3 linked regions of the Danio rerio genome follow. The protein of the gene in region 2 interacts with the protein of the main gene of each other region in a pairwise test. Links are inferred from orthologs where the notes say so. Each region holds a gene or a part of one and is shown on either strand. Other genes may lie near its edges.

Region 1 (4,163 bases), on a different chromosome or scaffold from region 2:
CCTGTCCGGACTGAGACCCACTTTATATTGTATACCTATCAGGCAGTGAAGATCGCTGATTTTTAAAGAAATCAGATCTTAATTGCGCCAATTTTGTAATGGAAAGACTGAAATCTCTAGGGCTGGCAAGCTGAATATTAAAAGTCTGTGTGCATATAGCCCATTATAGGACTATTTATGGTTTAAGTGCACCATCTAGTGGTCTGTCTAATCACTAGCAGTCACTGTGCTGCTATTTATGACCAGTTTAGTCATATCATTTATTAAAGTCAATAGTCATTAGTGTCTGAATTTGCTGCATCCCACACACCAATATTTTAGCCAATCACAAAAGAGAAATCACTGTCTGACCATCAGAGAATAACCATGGATATGACTTTCAACAATATATTTGTGTGTGTTAGTACCATTTGTTCGCTTTTGGCATCTGATTGAGCCTTTCAACCCAGAATCTGTGATGCATGATATATTAGACTAACTCAAACAAGTAAATTTTCATAAGAGGCAGCATGTGCAGAAATCTACCAGCAGCAGCCAGATGTGCGGTGACTTCATCTGTTCCAGTTGAATTGAGGATGTCGGAGTCATCATAAGCATCATCGTCAGGCGAGGAGGGCGAATCCTCGTCGGCGCTCAGCATGCCATGCTCTGTGTATGTGGCGACGTGCACCTGCCCGACCTGCTGAGAGACGGCGTGGGCCTCGATAGTGGTCATATGCTCCGTCTGATGCACCGTATGGTCTTCCATCACCCGATACAGTTTCACTCAAACACACTGAGACACGCACACACACAAACAAGATATTAGCACACAGATTGACTTGCGTTCATAGTTGTATTCAAGTGTCAAACTGAGTATGTTGTGAAGTGTTAGGCATGCATTGTAATTTGTATTTTCATTTAAAATACACATAAAATATGAGACACGTTGCATTATATTATAATAACAAACTCGCATTTTACTAATAAATATATACTGTGAATCCCTATTATAATGTATACCGTTAATATGACGCGATTGCGATTCATGTGTTTTGTATATTAAAACAGCACAACAAAACATTTCACTTTGGGTCAATACAGGTGAAATGGGCAATGACAAAATGTGTCCGAAATCAAGCTAAAACATTTGGTTAATTAAATGAATCCCCTTTGGCTGCTAACAATACACTATGGTTAAAACGGAGCATAATTTAAATAGGATCAGGCACGGATGGAGAACATAAATACAGAAAACTGGTTCCTTTTACTTCTTAAAACATAATGTTTTGTGATTAGCGACAGGTATTCATTTAGTTTTGCCTGTTTAGTAACTAGTATATGATCAATTGATACTATAGACAATAGACAAAAACATTGGTTTCAGCTAAAAATAAACTTTAATATTGTTTATTTTCATCACCAAATGTACAATTGTGTATGAACTAAGTTGTAAATGTATATTTTATTTTCACAGACTTCAATATTATTATTGTTTTAAACAATCAATCCAGTAGGGGGCACAAAAGATTACTTGAAATCAATATACGTCCCCCTTATATTTAACTTTTTATTTATATACAAACAGTAATGTTTGGCAAATATAGATGGAGTAAGACATACTGACATCCTAGCATTCACCTAAAATAATTAGCAATTTTTTTTAATGTTGTTAACTGCATATATACACGATCAGTACAGTTTTGCAATGTGCAATCATTAAAAAAAAATACATCAGGATTATTTACACCCAGAAGTTATTTTGTTTTTTAGATGACACACAAACTGAACGACACAGAATAAAAACCTTTTTTAAAGTTTTTATTGAATAATAAAATATTGAAGTCTCTGACAGCAAGGAGTGTAGTTCAAACATATTACAACTTTCTAATCAATATTATTTATAGTTTTTTTAATCGTTTAAATTAAGACCGAAAGCATATGTAAAATAATTAAATAAAACGTATGTGCTATGAATGTAACGTTAGTATATAACGTGCACACGTAACGTAAGATAAATAACGTAAACCAGAAGCTAACGCAGCTAATTCATTCTGCTCAATTCAGCGACCTCAAACACTGGAATAGGTACTTTTAATGACCATATCATTAAAAAAAACATTAATATATTATACCAAAGAACATTTCAACAAACATAAACGGCCATAATAAAAGGTAGGTTTGAATATATCTGAAGCGATACAGACCGGTGTATTAGAGCATTAATAACAAACACATAAATGGCGGTTATTTTCAAATGGTGAATAAATATTACTGTAAAGAAATGGGACAGTGTGTTGGTAAAATATTAAACACTGTCGCCCATTCAACTTCTTAATGATCACAATCATTGAGATAAGCGCTAAACATCTAAAATGCTCTTTTAGATAAAATGTAAGCGAGCACCGTTGTTGACTGAGAATAAAGCGATATAAACACTCGACTGATCGATAACATTGCTAAGCTAATGCGATATAATACATGCATTCAAAATCCGATTCCGCGATCGAGCATATAGACACAAGCTATCAAGCACTGAAATCCCATTTAGCATCTGGACAAAAAACATAAGCGATTCGATTGCACATCTAAATTCAGTACGTTAGGCCAAAGGCCCGCGCCTGCGCCATGATTCTTTTTTTGCCCCAAATTGAGCGGGGTAAATAATAATTGCCATCCGGGCAAAAGTGCTCGAAATCATCTGCAGTTCTGTTTCGCATCGTCGCGATCTGCATCTGAGTGTGTGAAAGGCAAACGCTGCCGGGTTGTTTGGTGCGGCTGCGCCAGGGCTGAAATGGCTGGAGATTGCGCGGTAGGGCACTAACCTCAGAGCGGCTGCGCTACTTCGGGCCTGCGCGGTGCGGCGGAGCTGTGAACACCAGCTGCAATGGAGGACAAAGAACGAGCAGCAGAGTGCGCGCGTCCTGGGCTCAGCGACTGATGCGCGGTCACGAGCGAAGTGCACAGAACAAACCCCGCCCCTCCCTCTCGTGCTACACACTACTACGTGATGCAGCAGCAGCAAGTGCACACTACACTCACAGAGAGTGAGGGAATGGGTGTGGGAATGCGACATTTCCATGGCACCGATTTTTTTTTGTTTTTAACAATAATATTAATAACAATATGATAATTATATGTAATTAGATATAGAAAGATTTCATATATAAAGTTTTTGAGTCGCAACAGACTATACAAAACACCTCTAAGCTAAAATGTATAATTTAAAAAAGCTTTAAAGGTTATAGATGTTTGAATAAAGGCCTAATTTATCACTTATTAAAGAACTATATTATCAATTAGTCTAAAATGTCCATTGGAAAATATTTAAATTAGATAAAGTTACATTATTATATCTTTCCTTTGCATTATAATTGCCCATACTGCATTTACAGCATTTCATTTGTTTTATTCATATGTTCATTCGTTTATTCTTTTACAAGTTTAGGTTTTTCAAAATTTTACTTAATCTTTGTGTTTGTAATTTTTATTTATTCATTCATTTTCCTATATTGATCTGGGGTCACCACATGAACCACCAACTTATCCAGCATATGTTTTACACAGCAGATGCCCTTCCAGCTGCAACCCAGTACACGGAAACATCCATACACACTCATTCAAGCAGATACACTATGGCCAATTTATAATTAAATTCACCTACTGCATGCCTTTGAACTGTGGGTGAAACGGAGCAACACAGAGGAAATCCATGCAAACATGGGAAGAAATGCCATCCACATAGAAATGCCTACTGACCCAGCCAGGACTCAAACCAGTGACCTTCTTGCTGTGAGGCGAGTCACTGAGCCACAGTGCCACAGTGTTATTATTTTAACTGAATATTACTTTTATGAATTTGTTTGATTAGTATATTTTATTTATTTCAATGCTTTTTTCATATTTTTTTTCACAGACCACTATAGTAATCTCTTGTGGCTCACTGGGGTTCCTGAGCCAAAGTTTGAAAACAGGTTTGTGTTTAATTACAAAATAATTTCTCACAAATAATGTTTAATGTTTTTATTTAATTTTTAATATTTTTATTTAATTTATTGTTTTTATGGCAAAATTATGTGCGCATATATATATATATATATATATATATATATATATATATATATATATATATATATATATATATATATATATATATATATATATATATATATTGCTTTGTCATA
Region 2 (4,402 bases):
CGCCCGCTCGCTTCCCTAAACCCGAGCAACAGTTTACAAAAGCCGTCCAAAAAAAGAAAAGCCCTGATTTTTTTTTTCTACCGCGTTTTCGGATTTCACCGCGTTCTCACCCTGTTACGAAACTCGTTCACTTAATTTTTGGGATTCTGTTTTTGTCTTACCTGATTGCTGGAACTGCTCTTCTGGACTCTAAACCGATCGCCATGGTCAACTCCTCTCTGCATCTTGAGCCTGCCGACGTACACGGTGAGCTGAGTGGACAAACGGGTTGCAGCGGGGAAGCAGGAGGGAAACAGCGTCACACCGCGCCGCAGCGTTCGCTTGAAAAAAATAAACGCGGCCGTACGTACCTGCCAGGACGTATTCCACTGTCTCCAGAAACGTCCACGGGACTACGTTTTCAGAATGAGCTTGGGTTGGATAATGTTTTATAACTCTCTGAAACTCACTCTTTTAGGGCTTGACGCCATTTCCTTTCGCGTTAACCAGCTGACCGATTACCTCTGTCCAGTGGCTCGCCTTGTACGCTGGTGGACCTGAGATGCAGAGAGTAGTTGACTGCGATTACGAGGTTCAAGTCTGGTGAAGAATGCTTACAGAAAGCAGGTAAAACAAAAACAGAAGCCAAAAATAAAATAAACAAGTTAATAACAGGGCGAGAATGTGGTCAAATCTGAAAATGTGGTAAAATCAGGCGGCCGTGAGGGCTTTTCTGTTTCTGCATTGCCTTTGAAAACACTGTCGGTTGGGTTTAGGGAAGAGGGTGATTGGGTCAATCGGTGCTTTTAAAAACACTCTCAGTTGGGTTCAGGAAAGGGGGTGAGTGGGATTATTTGTCGATCAGTCAGTCAGTCAGTCGACAGCGGCCTCTAGTAAATTTACGTGAGAACAGCAGGTGCGAGAGAAAATTAAGATTTAGCTGGGCCCCTATATGACAACATTTCTAGGATGTCGCGAATGTAAGTGAAAAGCTGGGTGTGGGGATGGGGGGTTGTCGCAAACAAAGTGAAGGGGGAGGGGTGCGGTGTTGCGGACGAAATTGAAGAGGGGAGTGGGAGGTGTCGCAGACAAAAGTGAAGAGCTGCAAACTGCAAAAAAAAAAAAAAAAAAAGTACCTCCATTTCGCTATCTCCAGAAATGTGTATACAGGGGTACGTATCAACAATGAGGTTTTGTTTTTTGGTTTATTGTTTTATTATTATTAATTCTAGCTCATTCTTGTTAAAGTTTAAAACGTGACTCTTTGTTTTCAAACAATGTTTTATATTTCCTTATAGTTTTCATTAGTATTTTTTATGCTCACACAAACAATATTAAAAGTTTAAATTTTTTTTTTCAAATAAATATAATACAAAAATGAAATAAAAATAAATTAAATAAATATAAAAATACAACTACTAATAAAAGCGAATATTGTAAATCATTATTATAGCACAAAATAATTATTATAACATAATATTATTACAATTAAAATAATGATCAGAAATCATTTTTATATGCTGATTTGAGTCTATTTTTTATATTATAATCAGTGTTAAAGTTGCGTTAAATAAATGCATTTTTTACCTTTAATTATTATAAATAATATTTGCTCAAGCTTGTTAAACCTTAAACTGTTTTATATTTTCTTACAGTTTTTATTAGTATTCTTTTATGTTTACACAAACATTATCATTAAACATTTTCATGTTTTTTTCAAATAAATATTATAAATATATATAAAATAAAAAAATATAACACAATAAGAATAAAACAAATAATGAAATAATGAAAACTAAAACCAGTAATATTGTAAATAATTCTTATAATTATGCAAAATATTATTATAATTAAAATAATGATCAGAAATCATTCTAATTTGTTGATTTGAGCCTAATTTCAAAATTAAACTTTTGCAATTTTTATTAAATAAATGCTTTTTTAAACTTTCTATTATAAATTTTAACACATTTAGCTGAAGCTTGTTAAAGTTTAAAACGTGGCTTTTCAACAATATTTTATATTTTCTTACTGTTTTTGTTAGTATTTTCTTATGTTTACACAAACAGTACCACTAAAAATAAATATTATACATATATCGAAAATAAAATAAACATAATACAATAAGCATAAATAAAATAAATATAGCTATTAATGAAAATTGAAAACCAGTAATATTGTAAATTTTTATTATTCATTCATTTTCCTTCAGCTTAGTCCCTTATTTATCAGGGGTCACCACAGCGAAACGAACCACCAACTATTCTGGCATATGTTTTACACAGGCGATGCCCTTCCAGGGGCAACCCAGTACTGTGAAAAATCATTATAACAGCCATGCATAATATTATTTTAATTAAAATAACGATCAGAAATCATTCAAATATGCTAATTTGAGCTTCATTTCATGTTATAATCAGTGTTAAAAGTCGTATGTTTATGCAATGCGGTGTTTGTGTGTCTTTATGTGTGTGTGTGCCTCTGTATATGTGCATCTGTGCGTGTGTATCTCTCTATTTGTGTATGTGCGTGTCTGTAATTTATTTTTATTTACATTTATTTTGAGGATTCTTTGATGTATAGAAAGTTCAAGAACAGCAGTGTTCGGTATCTCACCCTGAAATTTGCAATCCCGAGCAGCTTTAAATGCAGATTATATATGCACGAAATCAAAACACAGCAAAATCCGAACCTTCTTCATCTCTGCTCGTCTTCATTCCTGCGACTGAAGTGTAGACTGAGGCACACAAAGGCTTTCGGGCCCCCAGCAGGGCGGACGGGCCATCATTAACCCCTCACAGCAGGCCTCACGGGGCACACACAGACACACACATCTCCAGCATTGTGCCGGAGCGCTGGTGACAGAGCAAGTGCAGTGGTGTCCTGTGTGCCCCATGCTGGCATCTCAATCCACCACCAACCATGAAGAAGCCACACACATCTACAGAAGACTTCTCTGAACCTGCAGATAAACGCACAATAATGAACAATCATGATTACGTCACAATAATGTATAGCTTTAACCCTTGCGTACTGTGCAAATTGACTACCCTTTGGTTATGTTGGGGGCTATTTTTGCCCCATTGACTTTCATTATAATGACTTTTTTATTGCAAAGGCATGACAGCATTTAATCATAGAATCTTGATTGTTGGTGTTTTACCCTGTTGGGAAGAGGTTAAGTGTGTCATTTGTTCTGTTGATCATCAGCTGGCAGCATTAACCCTTTAGATAGGCCTGCATAAACAAGTGTATGGCTGTTATATGGAGTTCAGTGAAGTAAAACAGCAGATTATAGTGTGTGTGTGCAGAAATACACTTACTGTGTTTACTGTGTTCTGAGAGCTGAGCAGCTTATTTAGATTTATGTCAAGATAAGTGCGCAAATATCTCTCCTTCTCACAGACATTTAGCTTTTCTGTCATCTGCTTTTTAACACCCAGCCGAGAGACTTAGGGCCCTATCATACACCCGGCGCAGTGTGGCGCAAGGCGCAGTGCAATACTTGTTTGGTAGTTTCAGCTTGGTGCAAGAGTGGTTTTGATGCGTTGCGCTACGCTGTTTAAATAGCAAATGCATTAGCGCTCATATGTGCGCCCATAGGCGTTCTGGTCTAAAAAGGAAGGCGTTCTGAGGTGGACCGCTGACGCGTTGCTATTTTGAGAATCTATAATAGATTTTTCATTAGACCAAAACTAACCCGGTCTAAACTCCAGCGCAGAGTTGCGCCTAGCTTACACACTGCTTAATACACACAAGAGAGCAATAGGCAAATATCTTTACATATGAAAAAATTCAATATTAAGGATATATATAGGATATAATAAGAATAGATATAGAATATAAATATAAAGGATTAAAATATTACAAAACATATTATTTTCTAGCCTACATAAATATGAAAAATCACTGCTTTAATGTTTTCTTCATCTCGGGAGGCTTTTTCAGTTCATTCATAACAATTTGCTTTTGTATAATGTTATTGTTATTAGCAGTATTATTTATTATATCCATATTTATATTTGTTTTATTAAAAACAGGCTTAGATTTGCCCACACGTCAGGTTTTAGATCATATTGTTCATTTATTCGTTTGCTGGAAATTAGAACTGAATTTAGAAATAGTTTTGAAACGAATATTTGCGCTTAACAAACAAAATTATTTATTTATAGACTAATTGATGTCTGTGCGTAAAGGTTTCCCTATCCAAGAGCGAAAGTGAAAGTAGATCCATTATCTCTCATTCTCACGCAGTAGATGCTCTGTTTAACAGTTTTCTGTTAAAAAACTGTGAACTGTGAACTGTTTGCTTGTGAAATGCTCAGTTTTTCCACTTAGACTTACTTTGCGTCCTGTAAATAGTGAATGCGCTCTTGGCGTGACGCAGCTGACTCTTAAAGGGAATGGGAGATGAGACTGTAAT
Region 3 (4,258 bases), on a different chromosome or scaffold from region 2:
GAACTAACCTTTTTCATTTATTTATTTATTTATTTATTTTTTTTCTTTCTTTTTTTTTATGTTGATGGCAAATGACTAGCAGATGCCACATAAATAATAAATATAGTAACAAACAATGAAACCTTCCAATTACATGGAAAAAAGTAATGAGGAAAAGCACTACAAACATATTTAACACAAAGTCATGCACACTGTCAAAAATGCAGGGTTCCACACAATTCAGTAATGTGGACCCAACACAAATCGATTAAGTTAACTTAACACTTTTAACAAATTAATGTGGATTGAACATAAAAACATTAAGTTGTCCCAATTGTGTTGTTTCAGCTCATTTTAATCAAGTAGTTTAAACGAGCAAAAACACAGCTTTTTTTGAGTGTATGTTACATCTTATTGTAATGTCAAAGACAACTTTTTATTTTTATTCTTAAGCCCTAAAATAGTTTAGTTAGCTTTGTCATTGTTGCTTTTAGCAATTACTGAAAGATGCAATACCAGTGTACCCAACATTTCTTTCAATATGAACAAAAGCATAACCTACAAGAATTCAACACATGGGTTAATGCATCACTTGTACAATGTTAACATTAAACACATCTAATCTATGCTTTTTAAGGTTGTTTGCCTTTCTTAAAACCCCCTAAAACAGTTTTGGCTGGTCAATAGTGATTGCAATATGGAAAAGTGAAAGATTAACTTTAGCGATTGCCAACAATAAAACATTTCCCCCTAATAAAAGCATATGAATAAAAGCATGACCTATAACTATTCACACTGCTCATTGCTGTCACATGAGCTAACCTTTGTCTTTCTGAGGTTGCCTTTATTATTTTTTTGTCATCAGCACTGACTTCAAGATTCAATATGAAATAATTAAAAAGAGTAACTTGAGATGTCTAACAATGAAACGGTCCCACCCACATTACACAGTGTTCAACTTGCAGTGCTATCATAACTCAGACAAATGATTTTATTTTACTTGACGCACATGCATTCATCTCAAAAGGTTTTTTTTTTAATGCAAAGCAGAGCGTGCACACACCCCATCCCATGATGAATGCCGTAATCAGGCTGCGACTACAAAAAAACATTGGGATACTTGGAAATTAGGCCCCTCTTTCCTGTCGCAGGTCAGCCGTGCCTCCCTCCTTCCCTCCCTCAGTGTGTCGTACGTGAAACATCACGCTCCAAACACTGCTCGTTGAAACAGTGCTAATTAAAATCACCTGGGAAGAACTGCGTGGGGCTAACAAAGGGCCGGGCTTCACGTTACAGAGCAAAGTGTGTTCGCGTGTGTGTGAAAATTTTTACTACTGCTATCGCGGCCTCTTTGAAGAGCCACGGCGTTGAGTGATGAAGCAGCATGATGCACACCTGCACTTCACCTGCACAGCTGCCGGAGTGAAACTGAGGTGCTCCTGCAACCAACACCAGGGGAAAAAAAAAAATCTCATAGCTAATCACTGCCATAATGGGAGCTGTAATACTATACACCTTGTATTTAAAGAAAAAAAAAAAAGACAAAGATCACCTACCCTATTGATTTAGTCCCACATCCCTTGAAGCCACTGAAAGTGCACTGGCAGTAGATGTGGCTGAGGCTTAAGAGGAGAGCTGTCCATTAACACTCCAATACATCAGCCTTCCTGTCCTGACACTCACTGCTCCTGCATGCGAGCAGCTCTAAAGCTAGGAAGAATTCACCCCGGATTATGGGAATGGAGCAAGCAACCACGGTAAGATTAATGTTACCCTTGATAATAATAATAATAATAATAATAATAATAATAATAAAAACAATGATAATAAAAATCAGAAATAATATTCATTTATTTATTTATTTATTATATGAATTACTAAATGCAAACATATTTAGGACATATTTATTATTTTTAATATTTATGCATTTTAGAATTTTTATTTCAAATGCGCATATATGTATGTATGTATGTGTATATATATATATATATATATATATATATATATATATATATATATATATATATATATAGTTACAATAGAGATATAGATATATAGACATCATGGTTAAAAATCTAAATTTCTTGCAAAATTAAAAACAGGGCAAATCTAAAATTCCATACATGATAATAAATACCCAAAATTGCATTAAAATAAATAAAACTTTGAAAACGGTCTTGAAATATGAAATCTGTAACTGTACAGAGATGCAAACGCCTTGAAATTTGAGTAATAATACTAATAATGAATCGTGCATATTTACATTTCATGACTCAGGCTAAAATCACTAGTGTTAAAACAGACATTAATTGTGTTATTATTTGCTATTACTACAGTATATAATAACAATAACAAATCGCGTGTTTAAATCACCCCAAATTTACTCAAATAAAACAGCTATGCAAACACAACAAAAGTGAATCCGCATTATTCACTCGCATAAATGAAATCCTCCCAAACTGTCACTTGATGTAAATATTGATTATGAGGATTTATGAGTCCTCGGCAACTCTCAAACAACACACCTCGCTGTCAAAACAACAAATAAAGCACTAAATAAGCCATCTGCAACTTCTAAGTGCACTCAAACTCAGACGCCGAGTGCATAAAAAAGCCATAAACGTGAAAACTCACCAAAAGAAGTCAATGTATCTCCTTCGGGGATGCAAAGTTTTGCGTGTTTACGAGTCGGAGTGTTTTTAAAAAGCGCTGAAAACAAACGCACAACACGCGCTGTTGATATTCCTCCGCTCGGAGTGCAGAGACGCTGCTGTCTTCAGTCAGTGTGTGCTGCTGTTATTACCGATGCAACAGTAAAAAAAAAAAACGCCCGAGTAACACCGACTCCTGTTTGAATGCGCTTGCATGACGCGCAACGCGAAGCGGCGGCTTGTTTTTTTGTATCTTGATTCAATACATCGCAATGTATCGGCCGAGTTTGGTGGTGGTGGGGAGGACTAGCTTATTACAATGCGGGGAGGCACTTACGCGGACGTGCATGTTGTTATTTTTTAGCGTACTGCGACCCCACGTGACGTCGTGTCCACCTGCTGGGTAAACAATGCAGTCATTAAAAGTTAACGGAGTTTGTTTTTGTTTATTGCCATTGCAAAACACACCCAAATCAAGAAAGACAAGCCGGTTTCATTCGCTGGAGAGATGTGTGTACGAGTCTGAAGTCATTTTTATTTTGATTATGACATATTTGTATTGTTATGCTACTGTTATTTATTGATATGGCGAAATCCGAAATTATACTCGTGATTAAATGAATAAAGGGAATAAGTATTGTGTTTGTTTACACGAATAACAAATAAATAACGTTGTACTTTTAAATAGTTTATACAAATCTGAAGACGAGCGAAGTGGAAGGATGTTCAGAATAACAGAGATGGGGTCAAATGTTTGGTGTTGCTTTATTTTATTTTTCCATAATTCGAAATCAACTTAATTCAATGTTTATTTTAACACATTTATTAAATTTTACTTTATATTAAATTAATCAGCATTCTTAAACACCTCACACACTCGCAGTTCACTGAAATGAACCTCGAAATTAAATCATCAGTACTTTTATTATTGATTTTGATGATATATTAGTCATTTTAATGATGATCTGCTACTGTAACAATATTTGCTTGTGTGCGTTTTCCCCATTTATGTTTTAATTGCAAAACAATTGAAGGTTATACTGTATAGTGAGTTATGCATCGTGTGTGTACTGTCTGTGTGTGTGTGTGTGCCACTGCCTTGAAATATTGATATTAATAAAGGAGATTTCAGATCAAAGATTGATATGAAATGTCTTGCTTTTTGTGATTTAATTATCACAGTCTGTGACTGAATTAATAGTCTTTATTTTATTTTCCAAGCAAGCACCGTCTGCTTTAACATAATGATAGTTTTAAAAAAAGATAGGAATATATATTTTACATTAAATCAACACTTATAAAAATGCATATATAAATGAGTCAATATTGAAGATTTTGACATGGTTTTATGTGAACATTTTAACACTTTTCAAATCTGATAACAAATATCCGTCAGATATCCGCAGAGACTTTTTTCATTGATCAGAAAGAACATATTTGATGCGTTTTGATGTTCACCTATGTTTAAAATATATGCTATGTATCTTAAAGCCTGCTATTTAAATAAATATTTTAATCCAGAATTAAAAAATAATAAAATTGTGGTGTTTGTCACGAAGAAATGAATGAGAAACGTGTGCATTTTTTATAGGAAACTAAGAAAAAGAAGATGATTTTGGGAAACGGGT

The links.
Region 1: the proteins of sp4 (region 2) and nrf1 interact in binary tests that used the Homo sapiens proteins (3 or more experiments, as listed by UniProt). The two-hybrid records come from large-scale screens. The link is inferred for Danio rerio from reciprocal best matches to the Homo sapiens genes SP4 and NRF1.
Region 3: the proteins of sp4 (region 2) and foxp2 interact in a two-hybrid assay, tested with the Homo sapiens proteins (2 studies listed by BioGRID). The link is inferred for Danio rerio from reciprocal best matches to the Homo sapiens genes SP4 and FOXP2.

The regions. Positions count from the first base shown.
Region 1 is NC_133179.1:15,683,810-15,687,972, forward strand, and holds the start of nrf1 (nuclear respiratory factor 1), read right to left. Parts: upstream 2,900-4,163; 5' UTR 2,805-2,899; intron 776-2,804; 5' UTR 749-775; coding exon 526-748; intron 1-525. UniProt on the Homo sapiens protein: Transcription factor that activates the expression of the EIF2S1 (EIF2-alpha) gene. Links the transcriptional modulation of key metabolic genes to cellular growth and development.
Region 2 is NC_133194.1:2,839,370-2,843,771, reverse strand, and holds the start of sp4 (transcription factor Sp4), read right to left. Parts: upstream 2,942-4,402; 5' UTR 2,697-2,941; coding exon 2,672-2,696; intron 1-2,671. UniProt on the Homo sapiens protein: Binds to GT and GC boxes promoters elements. Probable transcriptional activator.
Region 3 is NC_133179.1:7,038,293-7,042,550, forward strand, and holds the start of foxp2 (forkhead box protein P2), read right to left. Parts: upstream 2,900-4,258; 5' UTR 2,614-2,899; intron 1,737-2,613; coding exon of another isoform or gene 1,672-1,736; exon of another isoform or gene 1,245-1,671; intron 1-1,244. UniProt on the Homo sapiens protein: Transcriptional repressor that may play a role in the specification and differentiation of lung epithelium. May also play a role in developing neural, gastrointestinal and cardiovascular tissues.